7 linked regions of the Mus musculus genome follow. The protein of the gene in region 5 purifies or fractionates together with the protein of the main gene of each other region. This does not show direct contact. Links are inferred from orthologs where the notes say so. Each region holds a gene or a part of one and is shown on either strand. Other genes may lie near its edges.

Region 1 (4,260 bases), on a different chromosome or scaffold from region 5:
CAAGTTCTACAGGTCAGTGTTTGACTACCAAAAAGCCAGAAACCTGGAATGTAGCTGGACTGAAAAGACCCGACAGCTGCAAAGAGAATTAATAGATTCTGCTCATCTGCCTGGGGTTCCTCTCTGCCTCAGCTGTCCTAAAGGGAAGGCTACTGCCTTTGGGGCAGCATCCACCCGCAGTCTAGGGCTATGTTCAGAACACTCCCTCTTGTCTACATCCTCACTCATTACTTGAATTCCTCAGCCCTTCAAAAACATCGCACAACTGGTTCTGGTATTTTAAATGTTTTGAACAAGGGAAGCCAGTGGGTAGGGGTAGGGTGGCTGAGACACAGTTTCATTAGCCTCCCGTGCTTCACCTCGATGTAGATTTATCTAGATCGGCTCTCCAAATGCAGGCTTGGTGAGTTCCTCCCAGGATGCTGGCTCTGTCCAGTCTCCACCTCAGCTGCTTCACCAGAACATACAGCGGCACTCTTGGGGCTGCACAAAGCCACCTTAAGAATCTTAGCTTCTTCCACCATGCCCTGTCCTCCTGAACATCACCTCAGTTATCATTGAAGAAGACTCTTCCTGGCGTCCTCTCCCAAGGCGGAAAAATCTCCTCAAAGCCTATACTGTCATTGTAAATACAAGGCAGCCAAACTCAGCAAGGCCCCACAAGGCACCACGCAAGCTTAATTAGCGCTCGCGATGACTATAATTAGAATAATTCATTGAGTGCTTCCTTATGGGCCAAACGCTGTCCTCAGTCAGTTTTCAAGCCCTTAAATCCTTCAAGACAATGCTGGGAGCTAGACTATCCGATCTCTATCATGCCTACATGTGCATGGGGCACAGAACAGGGCTCTAAACGGCTCTGTGCCTCTCCCAGTAGCAGGTTCACCTGTTAAAGTTAAGGAATAGGAGAGAGAGAGGAGAAAGAAGCGGCAAAGAACTACCCAGAAAGTTGGCGAGGACGCGCACTGAGACACTTCCTGGTCATCGTTACTCAGCACTTTGAGTCGAACTGCAGCATGGCCGCCCTAGTCTAAGGATACACCTCTGCCTGGGCAGTCCTAGGGACTGTCCCCAGCCCCAATCTGGAAGTATCTGACTTAGGTCTAGTTTGGGGCATGGGCAGTGTGATTACAGAAGGACTCTACGGTGTGAGAGAGGACCGTGATCTACCCCGGCGCTGTTCGCTGTTAAAGTGCCCTTGAGGCAGCTGGAAGTTGGCTCTTAGGGGTAGCTGCCGCGCGGCGTCTGGAGCCTGGAAAAACCCGAAGCTGCTCCAGGAGCCTGTGCTAGCTCCGCCCCTTATAAACTAAGGTTCTTGTTCGGCAGCTTAGAGTGGGGCGGGGAAGCCAGGAGTGAGGCCAGCGCTAGGACAGTCCCCAGGCTGCACTAGTAGCCGACTCTGGCTCCGCCCCCTGGAAAACCGCCCCACCTCTTGGGGGCGTGGTCTAGGCGCGGCCTGCCCAGGCGCCTTGGCGGACGCGGGAGGCGGGAAGCGCGTCCCCGCCGCGCGTGCCCGTCCGCCCCGCCCTGCTGCGCTCCGCCCTATTTCTATAAAGAGAAGGCGGGCGCCGCACTCGGTTGCAAGCTCCGTTGGGCGCCTTGGATCCATTTCCATCTGGTTCTGCTGAGACGCGTGTGGCTCCCTCCCCGCAACAGCCAAAATGGTGAAGCTGATCGAGAGCAAGGTACGCATGCCCGGGCGCCGCGCACATCCCGCGGTGCTGAAGAGGACACTCTCGGTGTCCCCGCGGGCTTAGCGGCCCAGGGCCTGTGTGCGCCCTCGGCGGTGGAGCATGCCCTGGGGGAGGGGACGAGGGGACCCTGGAACGCCGGGTACGGGAGATGCACTCGTGGGCAGCACCTGAGTCCCCGGAGCTGCACTCCCTACCGCCAGCCCAAATCTGGCGGAGGTGAAGAGATGGACCGGGGTCCTCCTGTGACACTCCCCCCTTCCCGTGCCCCAACTGAATCAGGATTTAGGATCTCTAGGAAAAGATGGAGAGCCGCCACTTCTCGAGTACGCGGTGCCACACGCCGCGCGGGTGTGTTGTACTGCTGGGCTCGGCCTTAGTTTCCCTCCATCAGTGACCTGCCGCCTAGAGGACACAGGCCAGGTCGGTGCATGAGGGTGGGTCTCGGGTCCCAGTTAAGTACCCTCGGATCGGTACCCCAGGTGACTACTAAGGAGAAAGGTCCAGGCCGCGCCCGAGAGACTCCTCCTCCTGCGTCGCAGGGCGTGTTTCCGGCAGCTCTGGCTTTGGAATGACTCAGTCCCCAAAGTCTGGCCCCGGGGCCTCGCAACCTTAAGGTTTCAGTGATTGACCCTCCATAAGTGGGCTTTGCTGGAACCAGGGCTCTCCCCCAGGGAGTAGTCAAGTACAAAGTCCTGCCCTTTGGGAAAAGAAAAATAATACCCAAGGGAAAAACTGTTACCATATTCGAAAGTTACTGAGAACCAAAATATCCTCCAGATTGGGAAACCCAGAGCCTGTTACACTGTAACTATTCGGGGAATATTTATAAAATGAAAAGTGAAAGGAGGTTGGGGGTGGAAATTGATGTGTGAAAGACTGGCTCACCCTTAAACTAGGAAATCCGTGGAAGACAGGTCCGCGCCCTCCAGTTTTGAGCACCTGGTTGGGTCTCAGTACAAAAGTTGGCTCACCCACTACCAGCCATATTAGTCCCAGCACCCAGTTGGATCCTTATCTGTTTAAACTGACCTACTTATGGAACCTTTGCCATTCCAATAGGAGCGGTGTACATTGGTGCCAGGAAACCAGTTACTCGGAAAAAGCTTGGGCCCCAAAAGCCTGCTACCAAGGCTCTGATCGGAGTCGCCCAGAATCAGAAGTTAAACTGAATACACATAAATTTCATGTGATGGGCTTAAGTTGATTAATTAAACTATGTAAAATGTAGCCTTATTTCTGACGACTGTGTGGGTAGTTAAAGGCCCCTGGGGTCAATCTCCACACAGGAGTGGAATAATAGGCTATGATATAATGGCTCAGAAATCAACAGTTGATTTGCCGTGTTTATCTTTAAGAATAAAATTATTCCTTGAACTACACACACACTTTGCTCAGTGCTTCACAGACCACGTGTTAGACCAAGGCGTTGGCTCATGCCTCTAATCCCCAGCGCTCAGGAGGCTGGGCTGTCTCAAAAAAAAAGCAAAGAACACTTTGTTATTTGCTGAATATGGTTTTGTTGTTGGGGCTTTCTGTTTCGGTTTATATTCACATATAGGGGTGGGGCATCCATTGGCAGTGGTCAGAGGACAACTTGAGAGAGTTGGCTCACTTCTACCTTGTGGGTCGTGGGTATTGAACTCAGTTCGTTGGTCTTGGTGGCAGGCACTTTAATGTGCTGAGCCATCTTGCCAGCCCCTGAATTGGGTATGTTTGAGAAAAGAGATGATAGCATCTGCTCCGGTCTACTCCGGGTGTGTTGTTTTGTCTCCAGGTTATTGGTGTCAGTACTGGCGACACTTGCCAATTGTGGTTATTGGTTTCTAGAGCTAAAAATTGTGATGTGCTTCTTAGTAGATAATTTTGAATACTCTTCAAGCCAATACAGATCGGCAGAAGAAAACTTGTTTTGCAAGTTTGCACATCCCTGCCTCTGTAATTGGTGTTCACTGAAGCCCGAAATTAGGATTGTGAGCCGCATTTTCAGTATTTTGAGTAGTGTTGCTTGGTTTTGCCTCATAGCTTTTGGGGGTAAACCTTGAGAGTGTTTGAGATGCAGTTTGCCCTGTTTTGTCATGTAATCTCATCAACTGGGACTCAGGTCCCAGCTAAGGACCCTCGGATTTGGATCGGTACCCCAGGTGACTGCTAAGGAGCAAGGTCCAGGCCGCTCCCTAGAGACTCCTCCTCCTGCGTCGCAGGGCGTGTTTCTGGCAGCTCTGGCTCTGGAATGACTCTTTTCTTATTGAGGATCAATCGTGGTCCAGATGTGGGTGTCATCAGAGCAGCCTGCCATACCACCTTGACCTGTGTCTTACAATAAAGAATAGGTGCTGTGGCCTCTGATAATTACATAAGGGGAGATTTTGTAAGAGAATTATCTGCAACAACCAGTGGTGGTTGGGAACAGTGGTTTCCATTGCTCTGCCCGCTCTTCACACCCAGACATGGATTTGATGGGCAAGTCTGACTAGACGTCTCTGGAAGCTGTCGTAGCCATTCTGTAGTGTTCTCAGAAATGACATGTGATTGTTTTCCTTGAAAGAAAAAAAAATGTGAGATAGAA
Region 2 (3,500 bases), on a different chromosome or scaffold from region 5:
AGCAGTATCCTTAAAAACACTTGTGTGGTCTGGCAGGTCAGACCAGCTACTAAAGCTCTTGCTGCCAGGCCTGAGAACTTGAGCTCAGTTCTCTGCAACTCTCACGGTAGAAGAGAGCCTACATTCAGGAATTGTTCTCTGACCTCCAAATGCACCTGCATAGGAAGATGTAAAGTAAATAGGTAGAACTGTAAAAAGTAAGCTATATAGAAACAAATCATGAGTTTCATAAAATAGTGCTACTTTACTAGAAAATGAATGGGAGGGGGAGGAGTCAAAAAAGAAAAGAAATGAATGAAATTTATTGGCCAGAACAAGTTGTATAAATACATTTAGCCTGAATAGGAGCTAAGCTCTTGACTGGTGCAAATGAGGTTGTTCCCTCTTTCTGTCTAGTACCTGACTAATTAATTTGTTTTTTCCTCCTAATAAGATACTATTCATAGGACAAAATGGTTAGGATGAACTAGTGTTTTCATATACTTATTTGATAGTGCTCATTTAAATCTTTGTATATGTTTCCTTTGTGTCTTATGCTGCTCTCAAATTTGATGTCAAGATTTTATTAGCATTGTAAGATGAAATCTTTTCTTTTGGCATTGATTTCAACCAACTGTGGGTCAAAGTACTTTTTTTAAGTACTTAAAAAAATTTAGACTTTTAAATGTATACAGATATTTTCCTTGTCACTTGGTAATTATTTATATAACATGATATATTAAGAATTAGAAGTAAGCTGGGTGGTGATGGCCTATACCTTTAAACCCAGCACTTGGGAGGTAAATGACTCTCTGAGTTTGAGGCCATCCTGGTCTACAGAATGAGTTCAGGACAGTCAGAGATATACAGAGAAACCCTGTCTTGGTCAAAACAAAACAAAACAGCAGGATTAAAGGTGAGTGGCACCACTGCCTGGTGGGCTTTTGTGGGTTTATAATGTTTTATTTTGTTTCTTTGAACTGGGTCTTTGTAGCTATAGCTTGTCCTAGAACTCACTATGTGGATCAGGCTGGCCTTGAACTCACAGACATTTATCTGTTTCTGTTTCCAAGTTCAGCCACCACACCCAGCCTCCCTCCCTCCCATTTTTAAAAACACATCATCCATGGACATAAATATTTTACATGCATGTATGTGTAATATGTGCATGATGGGGGTCCCTGAAGTCTGAAGAAGGAGTCAGATCCCTTAGAAGTGGAGTTGCAGAGAGTTGAGTTACCACCAATGCTAGCGTCTAGACCCAGTTCTTTGCAAGAGTAGTAAGTGCTGTTAAATGCTGCGCTCTCTCTGCAGCTGACAGCTTTACAGTGGGAAGAGTTGAGTACAGCTTCAGAATTAGAGGATTAAGTCTCTCTGTAAGATACCCATTCATTTTCAACACCAGAAAGACTCAGGCTTTACTGCAAGCTGGCATAATTACTGTTATTTGTTATGTAGCTGCAACATTCAGTTCAAGATCAGCTTAAGAGAGAGAAGTATAGGACGGAGTCTAGGAGGTCCCGAGTGTAGTTTCTGTTATCCTTCCCGTGGTCAGTGTATGACAATATACACAAATTATGCCTAAGGAAGCTAATCTAACTTTCTTCCTGTCCAATTTGTGTGGAATTTCTTCACAAAGACGAGAATGTTTATGTCCATGAGTACTTTGAACTCTACATTGACACAAAGCCCTTCTTTAAATTACATTGTTAATCTTTTAAATTGGCCAGCCCCACTTTTGAGACCATGTTGACCCTGCCAGTCCCCTACCAAAACTACATTTGTTAGCTAAGGTTCATTTTAGGTACACATTCCCATTGACCATGGATTATCTGCCGGAAGGAACCAAGAGGGAAGGCCACACTCTTTATAACAAATTCTTCCCTGTGCATTCCACTTTAATCTTAGTATTGCTGTCTGTTTCTTCCCCCTTCTCCTAGGATTGACCCCTGGGACTCACGCACAGCCTATAATTCTGACCTATAAATCAGCCCTGATTTGTGTTTATAGTTATCTTTGATTCCCTGCTATAAGATTAACCCTATAAGAACTCTTGTTTTGGAAAGGTATTTGTTTTAAATTTGATCTCTCTATTTTTCTGGGCTCTTTTTTTTTTTGGTTTTCGAGACAGGGTTTCTCTATAACCCTGGCTGTCCTGGAACTCACTTTGTCTGGCCTCGAACTCAGAAATCCGCCTGCCTCTGCCTCCCAAATGCTGGGATTAAAGGCATGCGCCACCACGCCCAGTCTCAGGCATCTTTTAAGAGATATTTTTAGATAAAAGTATGTGAAACTTTTGTATTTAATTGATTTAAAACAAGCCATATTTTATCTCTTTTGTTTTTAAGAATAAAGGTTCTCTCCAGTTTGAAGACAAGTGGGACTTCATGCATCCAATTGTTTTGAAGCTTTTACGCCAGGAATCTGTAACAAAACAGCAGTGGTTTGATCTATTTTCGTAAGTAATCCAGTAATTCTGTTTGTTAACAGTGGGTTTTGGTGGCTTTCCATACTGGATGGACAGTATGAGTTTAAGTGATAGGAAAACCTGTATATTGTTACTTAGTTGTGTTGGAGATTCCCAAGACAGAGTAGAGTCTAGGTTCCTTGACGTGCTAGGTGACCTTATAAGCCTGAACATACAGCGAAAAGACATATGGGTTGAAATTGGAAGATGTAAGGGGGAGATTAAGCACAGATTTCCAAAGGTCCTTTTCCAGGGGATTCACCTGGGACATTACGTTCTTTTTCTTAGATTAGTTTATCTCATTTTATGTGTATGAGTATTTTGCTTGCTTATATGTCTATGTAATATATGTGTTCTTGGTACTGGTGGAGGACAGAAGAAAGTGTTGGATCCCATGGAAATGGAGTTAGTGAGCCACCATGTGGGTGCTAGGAAATGACCTCGGGTCCTCTGCAAAAATAACAAGTGCTCTTAACTGCTGAGACATCTCTCCAGCCTTGGGACATTTAATTTCTTCAGCAGGAAGATTGAAAACATGTGATATGTTATCAAGAGTTAATGAAAGTGGCTATATAGTCATTCAAATTCTGGATTCCTAGGAAGAGTAAGTATAAATTCAGTAAAAATCAGGATGTTTGTGTTATCAGTTTAGATAAACTGAACCAGTGTTATCATTTCAGGAAGGTTTTATATAGATGTGGGAACCTGTCAGTTCTCAGATTTCAGTCTAAGGCTAACCTTACAAACAGATTTTTTTTTTTTTTTTAAGGAATTGAATCTCAGGTCTGCTTTGTTACTGCTTAGCCCTTGGCCAAATGTCTAGAGAACAGTTATTGTTAGAAGTCCCTAGGAGGCAGTGTAGCAAGTTTTAACAACCCTATTAATCACAAAGTTCACCTTAGAAGCCAAATGAGATGGTTTTCTCCTTCAGTTTCTATGTGAACAGTTAATTTAATTTAATATGTATGAGTGTTTTGCCTGCATATGTACAAGTACACAGTGTGCATTCCTGGTTCCTTTAGAAACCAGAAGAGTATGTCAGCCTCCATGTGGC
Region 3 (3,500 bases), on a different chromosome or scaffold from region 5:
ATCACTCCTGACAAGTCTGTCTACTAACAGTTTATTACTCTGTCCCCTTGATTGATAGGAGTCAATCACCATATGGCCCGTTCAGATTACGGCTTTGTGTTTCTCCTAATGGACTTCATGCTCTCTCACCAGGAAGAGGAAGAACAGGAGGAAGAAGATGATGATGAAGATGATGATGATACTGATGATTTAGATGAACTAGACACTGACCAGTTGCTGGAGGCAGAACTGGAGGAGGATGACAACAATGAGAATGCAGGAGAGGATGGAGACAATGACTTCTCTCCCTCTGATGAGGAGCTAGCAAACCTTCTAGAGGAGGGAGAGGAGGGGGAAGATGAAGACTCTGATGCAGATGAGGAGGTGGAGCTGATCCTGGGGGACAGTAAGTACAGGGCAGAGTCTGGGCGAGCCGCTGCACCCAGGCCAGGTCCTTCTGCTGTCCCAACCCATTCCAGAAGACAGCTGGGCTTGAGTTCTGCTGCCTCTCCACTCTGGCCCCTGAGGAAAAGCCCTGAGACATTAGTCAGCCTCTTCTCCCGTCAGACTCTATAGCCATCAGGTGGCTCCTCCTCTTAACTCATAAGCGAAGGTTTGCACACTTTTCTGTCAGAACAAAGGCAGTGCTTCTTTGCTTCCTGGGTCGTGTGGGCCCTGTCACAGCCTCAGATCCCCTGTAGTGAGGAGAAGGCAGTCACAGGCCAAACATGAAGTGATATTTAGAGCTGTGTTGCAATAAAACTTATTTACAAAATAGGTAGTGAGCTTATAGTTTTTGAATTCCAGCTTTAAAGTATTGGACTTAGAAAGGTGGAAGCATGGCTGTCACCTGAGGGTCTGGCTGAGGTCAGTTTGAAGCAGCTCTTCACAGGCTCCTTTGCCTCCGTGGCCGCTGTGTATAGATTAAGGGCCTTGTGTGGGAGAGCCTCTCCTGGCTGCTTTTGACCAGTCTCTCCTGAAGGTTGAGGAACCAATGCATCTGTCTTGTTCATTTCACCCTACCCCACTTCTTGTTCAGAACTCTAAAGAACAAACTCCAGTTTGTATAGTAATTTCCCACTGGTGGGTTTCTGAAGCCATTCCTATCATTGTTATGAATTCCCAAATAATCAGCTTTAAGACTGGGCAAACATTGTACTCTTGACATGTCTCTGTTGCCACGAGCGTGCCACTGTTGGCAGTTCTGGCTGCGGTCCTGAGTCTTATACTGATCGCTGCCCTGCCTGAGTGAAGAGTGATTCCTGTCTCACTTAGCTGGTATATATATATATATATATACCCAGCGTCCTTACAGGCATGGTAGGTGCTGTGTCTGATAATAGCAGCCACGTAGCACGGAGGGCTGTTGAAATATAATTAAATTAAAAATTAGCTTTTCATTTCCAATTGCTCTGTAGCATATGTTGCTATCGTGCTGAGCAGTAAGAACACATACATTTATATCATTTTATATCATGGCAAAGTTGTATTTTGGTGGCCTAGGTCAAGCAAACTTAATGGTGCTCTATCAGCCAGCCTCCTGTTTATGATCATGCTTCCTGGTAGGAGAGGTGGGTGGCAGTGTGCTTAATATAGAAACTTCTATTACATGTACTGTGCGCACACAATACTGCTCCTCTACCTGATGTAAGTTCATTTTCTTTCGGACAAATATCACTATGTGCTTATCGAGTTGGGACTGACAGTTGATTAAGTCCTCTTATCATATTTGAAGAAGGTCTTGGTGAGAGTGGGGTTGCTTATACCCACCTAGCTGTGGTGTATCATATTCAAAGGTTGAGATGATTCTGTGGGTTAACCCCTGGCCATGACCTCTGAGAGCTAGATAAGGACCCAGGGACATTTTAAATAAAACTTTAATAGTGAGGTGTTAGAGACAAAATTTTACCTCCCTTCAACAGGTTAGTAATGCAGGTTAGTTAGGTGGGCTCAGTCTACAGCAGGTGGCTGGAGCCACCTGCACTTGTAGGAGTGTCACTTGAGTTGCTTTTTTTGTTTTGAAATTAAAAATACTTTACCAAAACCCAAGATTTAAAGAAGTTTCCAGATAGACAAGACTAGTCAAAAGCTCCTTTTGAAGGAGAGACCCAACAAAGTTAGAGTATAACAGGGTGGCAGTACTGTCATTGGGTGTTCCATTTTGGTTTGGTTGGGCCTTTTCCTCCCCAAGCCTACTTAGAGTGAGAAGTGGCTAGACAGAGTTCAGAAGACCCGAGCTCATGCTTTTAACCAGTACAGTGAGGTCTCCATGAAAAGGGGAGGGGGTAATCTAGACAATGAAAATAAAACTACTTCCCCATCAAAGATAAAAGAGAGAAACCTTCCTTCCCCCTACTCTAACCCTGACAACTGCCTTCATTCACAGGGCTGTGTACTTATTCCATGATGGGGCAGTGAATGAGAGCAGAGAGCCGCTCGCTACCAGTGACGGTGTCCCAACAATCCAGATGACACTTCCAGCTTCTGCTCATGCCTTACAACAGTAAATGAGACATAGATGTGCTAATGTGCATTTAATCACCAGAGGAGCGAAGATATCTGGGCTTTTTTATTCTGTAATGTTTCTAAGCCTGTACCCATTAAATACAAAGAAAAATGGAAGGAGTCTTGGCAGAACAGCAGGGACACACCCACATGGTCATGAGAGGGGGTTGAACTGTTGTTACTCACGGCAAGGAGCCTGATCCGTGCTCCAACTTTTTCTAGGGCTTGGACTTGGCTCTTTTCATAGCACATTCCTAGTGCTGGGGACTACTTGCCTTCCACATACTTTAGCTAATCCTAGGTTGCTTGCATTGGGATGATACATTTTGGTCATGAAACATATTTCTAAGTTCTACATTGGGTCTTACTGTGGCAGACAGTTGACATGTAAGCGCCTCTTTGAGGGGGACTCCTGGGCAGCAGTGGCCATATGGTTCATTGCCCTCAGCTATTTATGACACAGGTGACCAACAAGGGCTCGGCCAACAGTGCTTGGATTTGCTCCATTATACAGGGCAGCGTGGTCCTCTCAGATCCTGAGTTTGCCCTGGCTGCCTAACATATTTTGCTTCATGACCCAGGTTGGCCTCAAGTTCCCCAACCCTTCTGTCTTCACTTTCTGAGTGCTAGGATTACAGGCATGTGCCACCACACCCAGCTTCAGGTTTTCCATTCCTAATTTGAATATAAACCCTCTCAATTTGTATTTGGTAACAGTATACCCTCTTTTCAGAATTTTGCTTAAATTCTAAAAATTAACTCTCTTAAAGCAAAGGTAATTTGGAAAACTCTTTTAAGTTACAAGAATATTGTTACTATAACCTGGGTGTAAACACTGACATAAAATACATGACATTTGAACATTTCTGCTTGCACTCTGAGGTGGAGACACAGCTGTCACCTACAGGTTGTCTTTTAGTGCTCTTCCCTGTGTTTTCTGGTCTGTCCTTTGTGGATGTTGCTATCCCTCATGACTGTCAGTGGAGCAGACTGATTGTACTGACCCCTCATTTACA
Region 4 (3,500 bases), on a different chromosome or scaffold from region 5:
GTTATTCTGAGATTGTAGGCTGTGTATGTGACCCTTCCCCCAACATGGAAAGATCTGTCCCCTTCCCATAATGACAGATCCCTTTCTCTTGTCACTCACCTTGATGGGTGTGAGGTGCTGAAAATGGCGGTGAGGGTGGGAGATCAGATTCAGGGGGCTATCCCACTGGGAGGCAGAGTAAACCCGAATCTCATTGTTCTGGTCAGTAGTCAGGAGCCGAGCTCCATCTGGGCTAAAACAAGCTGACAAAGTGAAAAGCCCTTAAGCTGAAGGAAGCCTCAGCCCCTGGTATCCTGATCTTCCAAAATACCTTTCCTTTCTAGGTAGGGGAGGAGAGATCAATCTGAACTATGAACAAAACTACCATGGCAACTCCACTGCCAAAGGAGCGGTCGGAGCCAGAAAGGGTCCTACACACCATTGACCTGATGGCTGGTGGTGAGAAAGACAGGGCACATAAGGAAGATGGGGTTTGGGATGTCACACCTGCATTGACAGGATGCCTGTGAGGCAGTGAGTAGAGGAAGCTGTCTTTCCCTTTAATTTGGCGCAGGTCCCAAATCTTCACTGTTTGATCTATGGAGGCTGTGGCCAGAAGCCAATCACAGCAGGGATTCAGGGCCACGTGGGCTACTTTCTTCTTGTGCATTCGGAGGTTCCAAAGCTACAGAGAAAAGTTTGGTTCAGGTGTTGAACCAAAGAGGGGTGAGGGGATGGGGCGTGGGCCACACAGTACCCACCTCCTTGCCATCTGTGCTCAACAGGATCACATGTCCCATATTGTCTCCTGTAACCACCACTCTGCTCTTGGCAGAAACATCAAGGCTGCAAAACCAGACCCTAGAGGGAGAGAGTGTGCTGTAAGACCCTTCGAGACTGAGATAGTCTGTTTAGTCACTGTGACAACTCCAGTATCAAGTATTTGTTGAATCAGTGAGTAACTGTCTTACTATAAATTTCCAGTGGAGGGTTTTCAGCCTTGTTTACCTTGCAGAAAAGGGCTGTGAAAGAGTACAGAAAGAGTTGACAGAACTCAGAAATGTGTCCAGTTATTGCTGAGCCCAGAATCCTCAGCTAGTTCCTGGAACCTCAGAGCAAGAATACAAATTACAAGGCTAGCTTGCTCCCCACAGCCCAGGAATGAAGAGTTTTATTTACTATTCCCACTCATCACTCCTCAGTCTTTGCACCAAAGGAGAGGGCAAAGCAAACAGGAACTGTTCAGCGGAGCTCCTCGAAGCTGGCTAGACGTGAACATCTGTCCCCTTCTGAGCATTTAGGGAAAAAAAAAAAAAATCAAAGACTACCAGAACCTTTTTACTCTCGAAAACTATGTGAGAAAAAAGAGACTCAAGAAGCAGGTATTTCATGGATGCTGATTCGAAGCCAAGAGAACTCCAAGTCCATCTAGTCCCCTCTCCTGATGTTGTTCTCAACCTTATGGGACAGCCCAGAATAATAACCAAGCTGCTTAGACTCACTGCACACACCCACATATCATCCTTAGCAAAACTGTGTCTCTGGCTAGACATCAAAGTGGCCTGCATGTGTAATTTCTCCAGCCACTTATTCTTAGGAGGATTCTTCCACCTGTTAACACTGCCACCAAGGAGACAGCAAGGCCATTACATCCCGGAAAATGGAGGGCAATAACATTGCACTTCTTTTTTTTTCTTTCCTGCCCCCCTTTTTTCTTTCTTTTCTTAAGATAGGCCCTCACTATGTAGTTCTAGACGGACCCAGCTGACTTAGAGCTCATAGTGATCCACAAGCCTCTGCCTCCCAAGTGCTGCCATTAAAGGTAAATACCACCACACGTGGCTAAACTTGTCCTTGATTCCTGCTCTACTCTGTAAATACCTTTCCAAGCAAAATACCATGTTGATTTATCCTGTGAAAGTAAAGGTCTAATTTAATACAGCTATAACTTACAGAAGTAATTAAGCCCTTCCATCAAAGACAAGAGCTAAGGATCCAGAATGCCTTCCTAGTGTAACGACCCACTCAGGTCAAAGTCAGAGCCACCAGAATCTAAGGAGGAAAAGGAATGGTGCAAAGTGGCTAAGATCCCTGTCTTCCCTGTGCTGGGCCAAAGTGACAGAAACAGAACTGGGTATGTTCTCAGCAAACTGCATCTAGAGCTTAGAAGCCATTTCCCTTACAAGTTAACTACTCACTTGCAAGAGTTTGAGCTGGTATAAACTCTGAGAATGTTGCCTTTAAAATCCTGCAGCCTGGTTGTTCCCTCCATTGAGGAGGCAAAAAACTGGTTGGTATTGAGATGGTTAAACTTCAGCCCAGTGATGCTTCCTCCAGCTCCAATCTAACATAAGGAAGGAAAAAGCCAGTGAGTAATGATGGGCCAGAAGTGCGGGGCCGGGTCTGGGCACCCAGACAGCACCGAGGCAGCAACACCAAGGCCAGCTTAGATACCTCACATTAGAATATCTGTTTTTAAGGCTTTATTTTGACTTTTATATTGTCGATTAAGAGGTAGTAAATATGACTGGTTCTGGTACACGGCTCTTCGAATTTCAACACACACAAATATCTGAATAGCCTAGCCACCCCCAAAATTAAGATGCAAACATTGACTTCATAAAAACTCCCTCATGCTGCCCTACTTTATCACATTTCTGGCTTACATTCTCACGTTCAAACCTTGGAAACCGCAGCATGCTCTTGTTATAAGAGCTTCAGCTCAAAAAAAAGCGATGTTTGGTGGACAGGGAACTATCTGTATTCTTTCCTGTCCTTCCAGACATTTTAAGCAGTGATGACACAACTGAGCCTGGAGGTCTAGGAAGTGTAAGAACACTTGCCTAGTATGCACAAGGCCCTGGGTTTGACCCCCAACTACACACATCCTCCCCACCCCCTACAAATTAGAAAAGTGGGGAGTAACACCTATGGCTTAACATTTATTAAGAGGCTAGAGAGATGGCTTCATGGTGAAGAGCACCTACTGCTGTTTGGAGTTCAGTTCCTAGCATCTACATAAGATGGCTCAAACTGCATATAACTCCAACTCCAGGGCATCCAATACCCTCTTCTGGCCTCCTGTACACAAGGCATACATGCATGTATACACACATACACACACATACACACACACACACACACACACACACATACACACACATACACACACAAACACACAAATAAATAAATAACCAACCAACCAACCAACCAAGCCAGGAATAGGAGCACACACCATTAGCCAGCAGTTGAGAGGCAGAACAGATCTCCGATTTCAAGGCCTACTTGGTCTACATAGTGAGTTTCAGGACTATATATAGTTCCAGGGCTAATAGACTGTCTCAAATAAAGTAACAAATACAGTAAGAGCTAAAGCCAGGCAGTGATGTACATGCCTTTAATCCCAGCATTGAGTAGAAAGAGACAGGTAGATTTCTGTTTGTTTGAGGCCAGCCTGTTCTACAAAGCTGGTTCCAGGTGAGCCAGAGCTGTTATACAGAGAAACCCTGTTTTGAAAGGAG
Region 5 (3,985 bases):
CACAGTCACAGCTCAGCCCCTTGGGTAAAATAAAGAGTCTGGGATAAACTTTAATATACTGCTGAGGTGAGGGAGTAATGATCAAGTCCACAGGCCTTTTTTCTCAATCATCATGGAATTATTATACTTGATTACCTTCTTAGGCCTAGCTTTCTGACCTTAATTTACTGAGTTATTAATTAAGTAATTTATTTATTTATTATCTGTGGTACATGTTTATTAGTGTGCCACCAGATGGCATGTGGAGATGACAGGGACTGTCAGGGGTCTTTCTCTACCTTTTGTTTTGTTTTGTTTTAAGACTGCGTTTTTCTGTATAACCTGGCTGTCCAGTAGTCCAGGCTGACCTTGGAACTTGATCACCCACCTCTGCTGAGATTAAATGTGGGTGTCACCATGCCCAGCTCATTTTCCTCTATTTTATTACTTCATCCCCTTGAGACAGAGAGAGCCTCTTACTGAAAGCTCACTGTTTTGGCTGACTGACCAGCTTACAGACTTCCTTTTCTCTGCCATCCTTCAATACAATGCTAAAAGGTTACACACACACATATCCACACATGGATTTTTACAATAGATGCTGGGGATTTGAACTCAGGTCTGCATGCTTGATAGCAAGTATTATTACCTACAGAGCCAGAGGATTTAATTTCTACAATGTTTGCCTCTGAAATTGCCCTGCTTAGGTCTAAAATCTTACACTGACACTCCCTACCTGAGAGAGTAGGGCCACTTAATGTCTATGTCACATATCTATAAATAGGTATGTCACCTATTAGTATGAAAAGTACACAGTAAGTGCTTAGTCCCACAGACACTAAAACCTAAGGTACTGTTATCAGCCTTATTAACCTGTTTTAAGATATTCTCAAAAAAAGTGTGTTAGCTTGTGGCTTCCTTCTGATAGCATCTTGAGAGTGATCTAGTATCTTTACTTCTTTGACTAACCATTGTATGTGATTAAACTCTTGAACAACAGTTTAAAATCCCTGACATACCCTACATGTTAGGATAGCCATAGATGGTGAAGAAGTCTTGAGTTTACATCCACCTAAATCACGCAGCTTGCTTTAGAAACAGCTAAGTAATCTGTGTGGGGCACTCAGCGTTGCCATGGCCCACTGGATGCATGCAACCAAATATAGCTTTTGTTAGATTTCAACCACAAGCTCAAAGTTACTGAGACCATCTTGGAAATCAAGATATAAATTAAAAAACTGGCTTTTCCATCTACTTGGGAAAAAGATAAAAACAACCATTACTATGCTCTCATTACATATGGCTCATCCAGAACTTCTTAATAAATTACCTTATCTCATCTTCATGACATCATTAATAGCTACGTTTAACCTTTATCTTATAGATAAGTTTAGATACTTTAGTTTCCTAATGCCAGTCAACAGTCTAAATGACAGTTATTGAGACCTGATTTTCAGTCTATTGAACCTAAGCTCATTGCTATAGTATGACCATGAGGTGTGTTTCTGAATGTATTTGCTTATTTTTCTATTTACAGAAAGGGAAAGAATCCTGGATTGTCAAGATTATTAAAAGACACGAAAATCTTCAGGCCAGTGCCAGGCCCACAGTAAGAACTCAATAAACACTGAAAACAGAGTACTGACGGTTAAAGCCAGCTGTGCCATCAGAACAAAACACCTGGAGACAGCAAGACAGTCTACTCAGCAACCTTTTGTAATTTTTTTCTTCACTCTCCTTAATACAATTTGCTCTAAAGAATCATTTGACTTGTCGTCAATCCCAAAGATACATGGATTTGGCTGGGGAAAATGCTTCTAAGCTCTCTCTTATAATTCCTGGTTTACATGAATTGTAGTAGTATTGTAGGGAACTGCTAAGAGGATTTGGTATGTGTCTAAAGAGCTGAAAAAAAACCAAACCAATCAATCCAAGAGCTCATGGATTTTTTTTTTTTTTTTAAATCAATGCTCTGCTCATTCGATTTATAAAAACAGCCACGCTCTTCAGTTTGGGAATCTACTGAAGGCTGCAACTAACTGCATGTAGCCACCAGGTTCAAGGCAGAGTGTGTGAGATTTACAAAAATAATCATGTTGACAAAAGTCGCACCCCAAGTCAGCCCTTTACACGCCCTGAAGGCAAGAAACTTTCTAAAAGGGGAATCGAAGCAGGCCCTAGAGGACAGGTAAGGCTCTACTGACAAGGCAGACTAAGGCCACTGTGGCCAATATTCGGTCGACGCCCCACAGAAAGCCAAGCTCACCACACCCTTCATCTCCCACCCCTCGCGGGTCTCTCACAGTCCCGCCATCCCTGCCCTCCCCTGCGTCTCGCCAGGGACCTCCTCACTCCTTAGTCCAGGGTTTCGCCGCCAGGATTTCTTGTTGTTGTTTTTTGTCATATTTGTAGATTTCATCGATACTCTGCGCTTCCTGCATGTTGTTGGCCAATTCCCAGGTTTTCTGGGCCATACCACTCCCGGAAGCTGCCATGGCCGAGGCACCGGAGAAGCTGTCGCTCCACAATCAAGATGCAACTTTCTTCTACTGGGCCTCAGCGTGCGGGCTTTGGACCTTCCCCACCAGGGTGCACACTCACTAGACTCTCAAGGCAGCCATGACACTTGAGACCGGAGGTGACGTTGGTCCAGACCATTCGCGCGCTGGGGCGCGGCGGCGGCGCAGCGACATAGAAAACACTTCCTTAGGGTTGGCTCGGCTCGGCTCGGCTAAGATCAGTCTTGCCGGTGAAACGAGAACATGCTGGCTCGGAAATCCGTTCGTGTGAACTGCGAGGGACGCAAAGCCTCGGTGTGGGAATGGTACAGCCTTTCGCGCCGGAAGGCGGGACTATTGGCCTGCCAGGAAGGAGTCGGCCGGCTCGGCTCGTACTGCGCAGACTCAGATGCCACCATATTGTGTGTAGGAGGAAACTTGAGTTTGGGGAATTATGTTTATGTGAGTGTAGGTGCTTCAAACGAAATAAATTGTTTGGAATACTAAATATCTCTAGAGAAACAGAGGTGTAAGTATCTCCGGATTATTGGTTTTGGAGGGGGAAGATCGCGTGACTCTTTTAAGATAATTTGCGGTGTGTTAAGCCTCCGGGGTTTGTGGTTGGCGTTCCGCTTTTGTGTTTTCGCTACTGTTGCGAGGTGGCAAGCAAAAGTTACCGGTTGCTAAGATTAACTTTTTTAGGGACTTTATAGGGTAACATTTTATACAAGTGTTAGGAGCGGTGAATGCCTTAGGCGCTACTTTTTAAAAAAGGTTTGTCTCAGTGCAGATTTAATCTCCGCAACCTGTGCCTTCCAGCAGTTAATGTGAAATTTGTTTCAGTCGTATTTTTAGGTTTTCTTCCCTCACATTCTCATCCCCAATTGCCCACTAGACTGTAAGTTGAAGGCATGCATGAAATTTGTGTTTTATTTAATTCTAATATATTTAATTTTTTTCGTAACACGGTTCTTAAAGACTTCTCCAGCTTCATCATCTTCTTTTAGCTCCCCCAACCCAGTTTTTCATTCTATTAGAACTTTTTTCCTTGGCTTAGTAATATATTAGTTGTTAGGCATTGCTTGAAATGCACTTCTTGACATTTCTGCTTTAGAGCACACAGATTTTAAAAAGCACAGCTCGGAGATGCCTTTCCTTAACTCTTCGTCAGTAACTGCTCCTTCACAGGAATTCGAAGGCTCTGTAGCTGCTTCACCTGGACCCCGGGGTTTTTGCAGTTCTGGAACTATGTAGTCCAGGCTGGCCTCAAACTCGAGAGCTGCCTGCTTGAGTGCTGGGATTCAAGGCGTGCACCACTACTGCCCGTCTGTATCCTCTTCTAATGCAGGTGCTTTTGCCTGGGCTGCAGGAGACCCTGTTTCAAAAAGTCAAGGAGCTGGGCAAACAAAACAGAGCAAGGACATTGCAACATTCTTCTAATTCCAGTACTTGGGAGGTGGAGAATGGAGAATCAAGAGTTCCAACCCCGCTTTCTCCCTGGACTATTG
Region 6 (2,704 bases), on a different chromosome or scaffold from region 5:
CTCTTCTGGTGTGTCTTAAAAAATCTTAAAAAAAGAGCACTGCTGATCTTGCAGAGGATCCGGCTCAGTTCCCAGCACCCACAGGGCAGCTCACAACTGTCTGTAAATGTAGTGTCAGGGGATCTCGAGACCTCATAGCGCACACAAACATACATCATGCAGGCAAAGCACTCATACATAAAATAATAAAACTTAAGTGCTGGGGTGGAGGGCTGGCCATCCCTGGGGCTGGACACCTGTTAAGGGTTCAGAAAAGACAGGCCAAGTGCCTGGGTGCTGGCCCCAGTCGATGGCATGGCCACACCTGGCATACGGGCAGAGGGTGGCAATTTGCCTGAGTCCAGCACCCAGCGACTCTGGAGAGAGTGTGGTCACTGTCTGCACACTGCCCCAGGAAGCATCTTTAAGAGGTGAGTATACCCAGCGTCTGTGTGTGGATGCAGGCGGGTCTTAACCTTGCTTGGCCCTCTTATTCCTGTTTTTGTGTGGATGAAATCAAGCCAGCCGCTCTTCCCTCGGCCTGAGAATCCTGCTTCCACCCTCCTCTGGGCCTCACCTCCCTCCTCTTTGTAGGGAAGACAGCTTTACTTCACGCCCTGGCCAGCAGCGATGGTGTGCAGATCCACAACACAGAAAACATCCGGCTCCTCCTGGAGGGAGGTGAGGTTCCCTGTCTGTCCATAGCTGTGGCTGCTGCTCCTCACCCCCCCCCCCCAACACACACACACACACATCTACACCATTGTCTGGTAAGGGCTGCTGGTCACCTCTCATTTCTGTTCCCATGGCTCTTCAGGGGCAGACGTCAAGGCCACCACCAAGGATGGGGACACTGTATTCACCTGCATCATCTTCCTGCTCGGTGAGACTGTCTGTGGGGACAAGGAGGAGGCCCCGATGATCAACCGCTTCTGCTTCCAAGTCACGCAGCTCTTGCTGGCCCACGGTGCCGACCCCAGCGAGTGCCCGGCCCATGAGTCCCTCACGCACATCTGCCTCAAGAGCTTCAAGCTGCACTTCCCGCTCCTCTGCTTCCTGCTGGAGTCCGGAGCCGCCTACAACTGCTCCCTGCACGGTGCATCCTGTTGGTCTGGCTTCAACCTCGTTTTTGAGAGGCTCTGCTCGCACCCGGGCTGTGCCGAGGACGACAGCCACATTGAGCTTCTGCATAAGGCTGAGACCGTGCTGGACCTCATGGTGACCAGCTCCCAGAGGCTGCAGCTGCCTGAGAACCTCAACATCCACCCAGTGGGTAGCCTGGCAGGGAAGATCCAGGCCCTTCATGCCTCCCTGAGGCAGCTCGAGAGCTACCCGCCACCTCTCAAACACCTGTGCCGGGTGTCCATCCGGCTGTGCCTGCGACCGTGGCCTGTGGACACCAAGGTCAAAGCACTGCCCTTGCCCGACAGGCTCAAGTGGTACCTGCTCAGTGCACACAGTGATACCCAAGACACTTGCTGACAAGTCCCAGGGTGGAATGATCTGGGGTACCTGAAACCAGCCTGAGGATAGACCTGGCACCTATAATGGCCTTTGGGGGAGGGGTCCCTTTTATCTGGGAAAGGCCTGCCCTTTACTGCTATGAAACCACTAGGGTGGTGCCCTGGAGGCCAAAGGCATGGAAGGCTGCTCCAGGGAGATCCCCGCCCCCTCCCTCTCAGTGTTTCACAATGGGAGGGGCCAGTGCAGATGGGATACAGCTGCCCTCTGTATTAGGAGCTGACCAGGCTGTGCACAGGGAATGAGGCCCAGGCCCCTCAGAGCCCTGGCAGCTGTGGTTCGTCCCATGGCGGAGGCACATGCCTGGGGTTTCCCAGGACCAGTGCCAAAAATCCTGGGCCATTCAGTAAGGCCCTACCCATTCATTCTGCCGCCTCGGGTCTCATGATGCCTTTGAGGAGCTGGGGACAGAACTGAGGCGGCCACAGGCTGGTCTTCTGGGTTAGAGGCCTGCCCAGTCCTGTGGTGGTCAGGGCTCTGGCACTGTGGTTGGTGGTAGCTCTGCTCATGCCACACCCAGGTCTCGGGGCTGGTGCCTTCTGTTTAAAGGCATCACGAGCACAGCAGGATTTATGAGGGGCCCAGAAGACACTGCTGAGGCCTGAAGCTGGCTCCACTCTAGTGCCAAGCCCTCACGAGATCTTCGCAGTCAGCTTGGCTTTTGGGAATGAGCAGAGATGATTAAATATATTTATAAGATTAAACTCTGTGTCTTTGTATGACAATTTGGCACGCTCAAGCGATCTGACATACATCCACACACAGACTGCCTGGGGCATCTGAGAATAGGACTCACCCTTTTATTGGCTGTGTCAGAGAGGAGCTCCTAGGAGCTGCAGGCTGCTGTGACCCATCACCAAAGAGGATATGGGGCTGTGACCATTTCTGTAATTGGTACTGTCTGGCAGGTACCATGTGTGGCCTGGCTGTCCTGGAACACAGCAGTCCACACATTGAGGTCCCTAGGCAACCAAGTGAAGTCTTTCCCCTCAGGCAGCTAGACCAGCGGTGACCAACTCTGCTTTCCATAGCCCTGTGGGAAGTTGCCAGGGTGCTTTAGAGTGACAGGGCTGCAGTGCCCCAATCCAGGGCACACCTCCCCTAGGGCTTGACCCTTCCCACTGGAGTCAATGGTGTGTCTCTTGGCCTGCCAGCTGCTGGCCCCCAGCTCTGGCCCTGGCTTCATCTCAGGGCAAAGCTGTAG
Region 7 (3,500 bases), on a different chromosome or scaffold from region 5:
GCACATCACTTCAGCATCAAGCTGCATTTTAATGCATCTCGAATTGCATGTAACAGAACAGAACGCATGTGCTCTTTAGGTAGTTATTGCAATCTCGTCTAAGGGGGATGGATGTCTGCACATGTCCAAGACAGATGCAATATGTCATTTACATTTGGGTCTGAAGCTGCTGGCTGGATGCAGGCATGGCATCTTCAGATGCGGAAGACTGAGTTCAGTGAGGCAGGTATCCTGATCCTGGCCTCAGGCCCACAAGCAAGATTGGTCCTTGTCACCAAGAGCCGCCTGTTTGGAGTTGCTTGTATCTGTGGATTCCCATTCCTGCCCTGCAGAGTGTGGAGTCCTGGGTACCAGAGTAACATTTGAGAAGTCACCTCTGCAGTCACCAGGCAGAATGGCTCTGACTGGAAAACTTCAGGACACCTTCTACCAGAGAGTGTCCTCCCATGTCAAGGCCAGAACTGACCTTTTGGTCTGCGTCTTCCTTTCAGATCTAACTTCAAACTTGTGGCTGTCAATTCAAAGCTTTACGCCATCGGTGGGCAGGCTGTTTCTAACGTGGAATGCTACAATCCCGAGCAAGATGCGTGGAATTTTGTGGCTCCCCTGCCAAACCCTCTGGCTGAGTTCTCTGCCTGCGAGTGCAAGGGGAAGATTTACGTCATTGGCGGATATACCACCCGAGGTGAGTGAGTGGCAGTCAACTGCTTTTGCATAAGCTGCAGCAACCTGGCTGGGTCAGGACTGGCTAGAAGAAGCTATGTATCTGAGTGAGATTTTATGCATCAGATGCTATATACTCGCCTTTTCTTAAAGATGTGAGCCCCGAGGCAGGATGGATTAGGCAGGAAGGACCTTTGATGACCTTATTTGAGCATGGACATTGTTCACATGGAAGAGGGAATTATAGAAGATTATGAATGTTCGTTGTGCTTCTAGAAACCCAGCCTTATGGTCAGTACCTGGAACCTGCCCATTTTGGAGGTTTGGGTCACAGCTTGGGAAAAAAGGGTAAACTGAGTTCTCTTCTCTCCCCAAGAGTTAAACCCACCCACCAGTGCCAAGCCAGAGCTAAGTCTGGCTTTTGCTTTACTAGATAGATACCCAGAAGGCCAGTTCTGGGGGCCCGTTTCTATGTCCCATGGAGGTGATAGGGTGTGAGCACAAAAGAACTTTTTAGACCAGATGGTTACACCTGTGCAGAGTGTTCTACTGTTTGCATGTACACATCTGTGTGATGGACATTTTATAGGAGTAGTGTGGAAAAGAGACAGTGCCCAGGTTCAGTGCTGCTGTGTGTAGCAGAGAGATCCCAGGCATCAGGGTAGAGAACATCATAGCTACGTGAGGGGGTGTTTCTGGGTGCAGGGAAGAGCCCTGTCCTTTGTCTTTGCCTCCCTTGAGGAGGCTGCCACCAAGTGGTCTGTTAGCTAAGGGCATTTACATCTGTGTTTGGTGTGTCTGGTGTGCAGAGCCCGTAGCTGAAGGAGAGGAATAACTGGACTCTTGGAGTTGCTTGTATGTTTGGCATGCAGGGGCAGACAGAGCTCGCTAGCCCTGCTGATCACTGCATGAGGGAGACTCTGGGTCTACAAGTGAACACAGGCAACTGTGTAAATGTCAGACACCAATAAAGTATTCAGATAGGTGGCCCATAACTGGGTGTGACTATGCACTCATGTGATGCTAGCACTGGGGAGGTACAGGAAGTGGGACCAATACTTTAAGGCCAGCCTGGGAGATGGTAGAGCAAGAGGAAGGGAGAGAAAGCTCTCAGCAGGGCGTCTTCCTCACCTCTTCACTCTCTTTCTGGTGGCTTCCTCATGCATGTCTGCTGTCTTCATGTGGCTTCTCCTGTAAGTCTCTACCTCTAATACGGATGCTGGCAGTTGGGTTTGTGATCCAGATCCATTTTTTAAATATATTTTTTATTAGGTATTTTCCTCATTTACATTTCCAATGCTATCCCAAAAGTCCCCCATACCCTACCCCCTACTCCCCTACCCACCCACTCCTATCTTTTGGCCCTGGCGTTCCCCTGTACTGGGGCATATAAAGTTTGCATGTCCATTGGGCCTCTCTTTCCAGTGATGGCCGACTAGGCCATCTTTTGATACATATGCAGCTAGAGACACAAGCTCTGGGGGGTACTGGGTAGTTCATATTGTTGTTCCACCTATAGGGTTGCAGATCCCTTTAGCTCCTTGGATATGTTCTCTAGCTCCTCCATTGGGGGCCCTGTGACCCATCCAATAGCTGACTGTGAGCATCCACTTCTGTGTTTGCTAGGCCCCGGCACAATCCCAGATCCATTCTGTTTAGCGTGTTTACAGCCACAGATCTGTTTTCAAATGAGCTCTCTCTGGTGAGCTGAGGTTGTGGATTGGACCTGCTTTGGGAGTGGGGTGCGGGCTCTACTCTCTGCAGCTGGCCTATGTAATTGTGCCTCTGAGAAGAGGCAGCAGCGAGGGAGGAGTGTGATGGAAGCCATGGACTATTTTCTTCCTCAGATGCTGTCACTTCCCAGTGGCCCCCACTAGGAATCAAGATAATTTGTCTTTGCTAGTGCTTTGCACCATTTGCACTGGGGCTCAGTACAGCATCGATTAAGTTCACAGCAATGCACGGCAGCTGACACTCCTGAATCCTACATCCTTGCTTCTGTTTTTCTAGGAAAGTAACTAGCTAGATTGTTTACCTACGGACATTTCTTCTTTCTTTCACGCAACATGGTTTGTGTTTTGAAGCCAGGTCTTACCCTAGCGCAGTCTATGGTGTAGAACTCTGTAGCTCAGTCCCCTTGTCTGAGCCTCCAGGTGCTAGGATTCTATGCATGAGCCACCACCGTGTCTCGGCGAGCTATTCAGAATACACTCTGGTTGACATGACACACGCTTGTGCCCCGGCTTCTCTTCCACACAGGAGCTGCTGGCTCCTGCTGGGAGCACTGTTCTTCTGGTAGATTTCCTGGCTCTTCCATGACCTTGGCTCAGCAAATGGGTTGTAGATTTGACCTGGAAAACCCTTCTTGTGTGTTTTGAGCTTCATGGCCACCACTAGCGTGCCTTCTTCACTTGGGCCACCCAGGATGATGTCCATCCCGGATTCTCCATGCCAGAGACCATTCTGTGCGGTCAGAGGTGGACTGGATGGGTGTTTGTGTTCTAAGCTGAGAGGGCTGGGCACTGGCTGGCCTCTCTAACCCTCCTCTAGCCTGGATTTTCCAGCACTTCCTGATAGTTCCTGTAGTTCCCATTATAAACAGCTCTTCCCAATTGTTTGGGGGAAAACAAACAGACAAAAACAAAAAAACAAACAAAAGAAGAAGAAGAGGAGGAGGAGGAAGAAGAGGAGGAGGAAGAAGAAGAGGAAGAAGAAGAGGAGGAGGAGGAGGAGGAGGAAGAGGAGGAGGAGGAGAAACCAGGACTTGAGTTGGATTCCCATCCTGTTGACTTCTTAGATGAGATTTTTTAAAAATTCAGTAAATAATGGTTCATGAC

Evidence for each region.
Region 1: the proteins of Cops5 (region 5) and Txn1 purify together in Homo sapiens (affinity purification with western blotting; 3 studies listed by BioGRID and IntAct, with this or other methods). This does not show direct contact. The link is inferred for Mus musculus from reciprocal best matches to the Homo sapiens genes COPS5 and TXN.
Region 2: the proteins of Cops5 (region 5) and Cul5 purify together in Homo sapiens (affinity purification with western blotting; 6 studies listed by BioGRID and IntAct, with this or other methods). This does not show direct contact. The link is inferred for Mus musculus from reciprocal best matches to the Homo sapiens genes COPS5 and CUL5.
Region 3: the proteins of Cops5 (region 5) and Dcaf1 purify together in Homo sapiens (affinity purification with mass spectrometry; 8 studies listed by BioGRID and IntAct, with this or other methods). This does not show direct contact. The link is inferred for Mus musculus from reciprocal best matches to the Homo sapiens genes COPS5 and DCAF1.
Region 4: the proteins of Cops5 (region 5) and Ddb2 purify together in Homo sapiens (affinity purification with mass spectrometry; 10 studies listed by BioGRID and IntAct, counting the BioPlex papers as one, with this or other methods). This does not show direct contact. The link is inferred for Mus musculus from reciprocal best matches to the Homo sapiens genes COPS5 and DDB2.
Region 6: the proteins of Cops5 (region 5) and Asb6 purify together in Homo sapiens (affinity purification with mass spectrometry; 3 studies listed by BioGRID and IntAct, with this or other methods). This does not show direct contact. The link is inferred for Mus musculus from reciprocal best matches to the Homo sapiens genes COPS5 and ASB6.
Region 7: the proteins of Cops5 (region 5) and Klhl42 purify together in Homo sapiens (affinity purification with mass spectrometry; 3 studies listed by BioGRID and IntAct, with this or other methods). This does not show direct contact. The link is inferred for Mus musculus from reciprocal best matches to the Homo sapiens genes COPS5 and KLHL42.

Annotation. Positions count from the first base shown.
Region 1 is NC_000070.6:57,953,612-57,957,871, reverse strand, and holds the start of Txn1 (thioredoxin), read left to right. Parts: upstream 1-1,460; 5' UTR 1,461-1,661; coding exon 1,662-1,685; intron 1,686-4,260. UniProt on the Homo sapiens protein: Participates in various redox reactions through the reversible oxidation of its active center dithiol to a disulfide and catalyzes dithiol-disulfide exchange reactions.
Region 2 is NC_000075.6:53,657,508-53,661,007, reverse strand, and holds part of Cul5 (cullin-5), read left to right. Parts: intron 1-2,327; coding exon 2,328-2,437; intron 2,438-2,822; exon of another isoform or gene 2,823-3,050; intron 3,051-3,500. UniProt on the Homo sapiens protein: Core component of multiple cullin-5-RING E3 ubiquitin-protein ligase complexes (ECS complexes, also named CRL5 complexes), which mediate the ubiquitination and subsequent proteasomal degradation of target proteins.
Region 3 is NC_000075.6:106,873,924-106,877,423, forward strand, and holds part of Dcaf1 (DDB1- and CUL4-associated factor 1), read left to right. Parts: intron 1-132; coding exon 133-385; intron 386-2,365; exon of another isoform or gene 2,366-2,482; intron 2,483-3,500. UniProt on the Homo sapiens protein: Acts both as a substrate recognition component of E3 ubiquitin-protein ligase complexes and as an atypical serine/threonine-protein kinase, playing key roles in various processes such as cell cycle, telomerase regulation and histone modification.
Region 4 is NC_000068.7:91,216,567-91,220,066, forward strand, and holds part of Ddb2 (DNA damage-binding protein 2), read right to left. Parts: intron 2,324-3,500; coding exon 2,178-2,323; intron 841-2,177; coding exon 741-840; intron 665-740; coding exon 487-664; intron 243-486; coding exon 100-242; intron 1-99.
Region 5 is NC_000067.6:10,035,339-10,039,323, forward strand, and holds the start of Cops5 (COP9 signalosome complex subunit 5), read right to left. Parts: upstream 2,801-3,985; 5' UTR 2,673-2,800; coding exon of another isoform or gene 2,581-2,672; 5' UTR 2,475-2,580; coding exon 2,332-2,474; exon of another isoform or gene 2,324-2,331; intron 1-2,323. Other genes in the region: Cspp1 (centrosome and spindle pole associated protein 1), read left to right, coding at 2,801-3,006. UniProt on the Homo sapiens protein: Probable protease subunit of the COP9 signalosome complex (CSN), a complex involved in various cellular and developmental processes.
Region 6 is NC_000068.7:30,822,597-30,825,300, reverse strand, and holds the end of Asb6 (ankyrin repeat and SOCS box protein 6), read left to right. Parts: intron 1-573; coding exon 574-660; intron 661-796; coding exon 797-1,461; 3' UTR 1,462-2,204; downstream 2,205-2,704. Other genes in the region: Ntmt1 (N-terminal Xaa-Pro-Lys N-methyltransferase 1), read right to left, coding at 2,683-2,704. UniProt on the Homo sapiens protein: Probable substrate-recognition component of a SCF-like ECS (Elongin-Cullin-SOCS-box protein) E3 ubiquitin-protein ligase complex which mediates the ubiquitination and subsequent proteasomal degradation of target proteins.
Region 7 is NC_000072.6:147,101,075-147,104,574, forward strand, and holds part of Klhl42 (kelch-like protein 42), read left to right. Parts: intron 1-491; coding exon 492-685; intron 686-3,500. UniProt on the Homo sapiens protein: Substrate-specific adapter of a BCR (BTB-CUL3-RBX1) E3 ubiquitin-protein ligase complex required for mitotic progression and cytokinesis. The BCR(KLHL42) E3 ubiquitin ligase complex mediates the ubiquitination and subsequent degradation of KATNA1.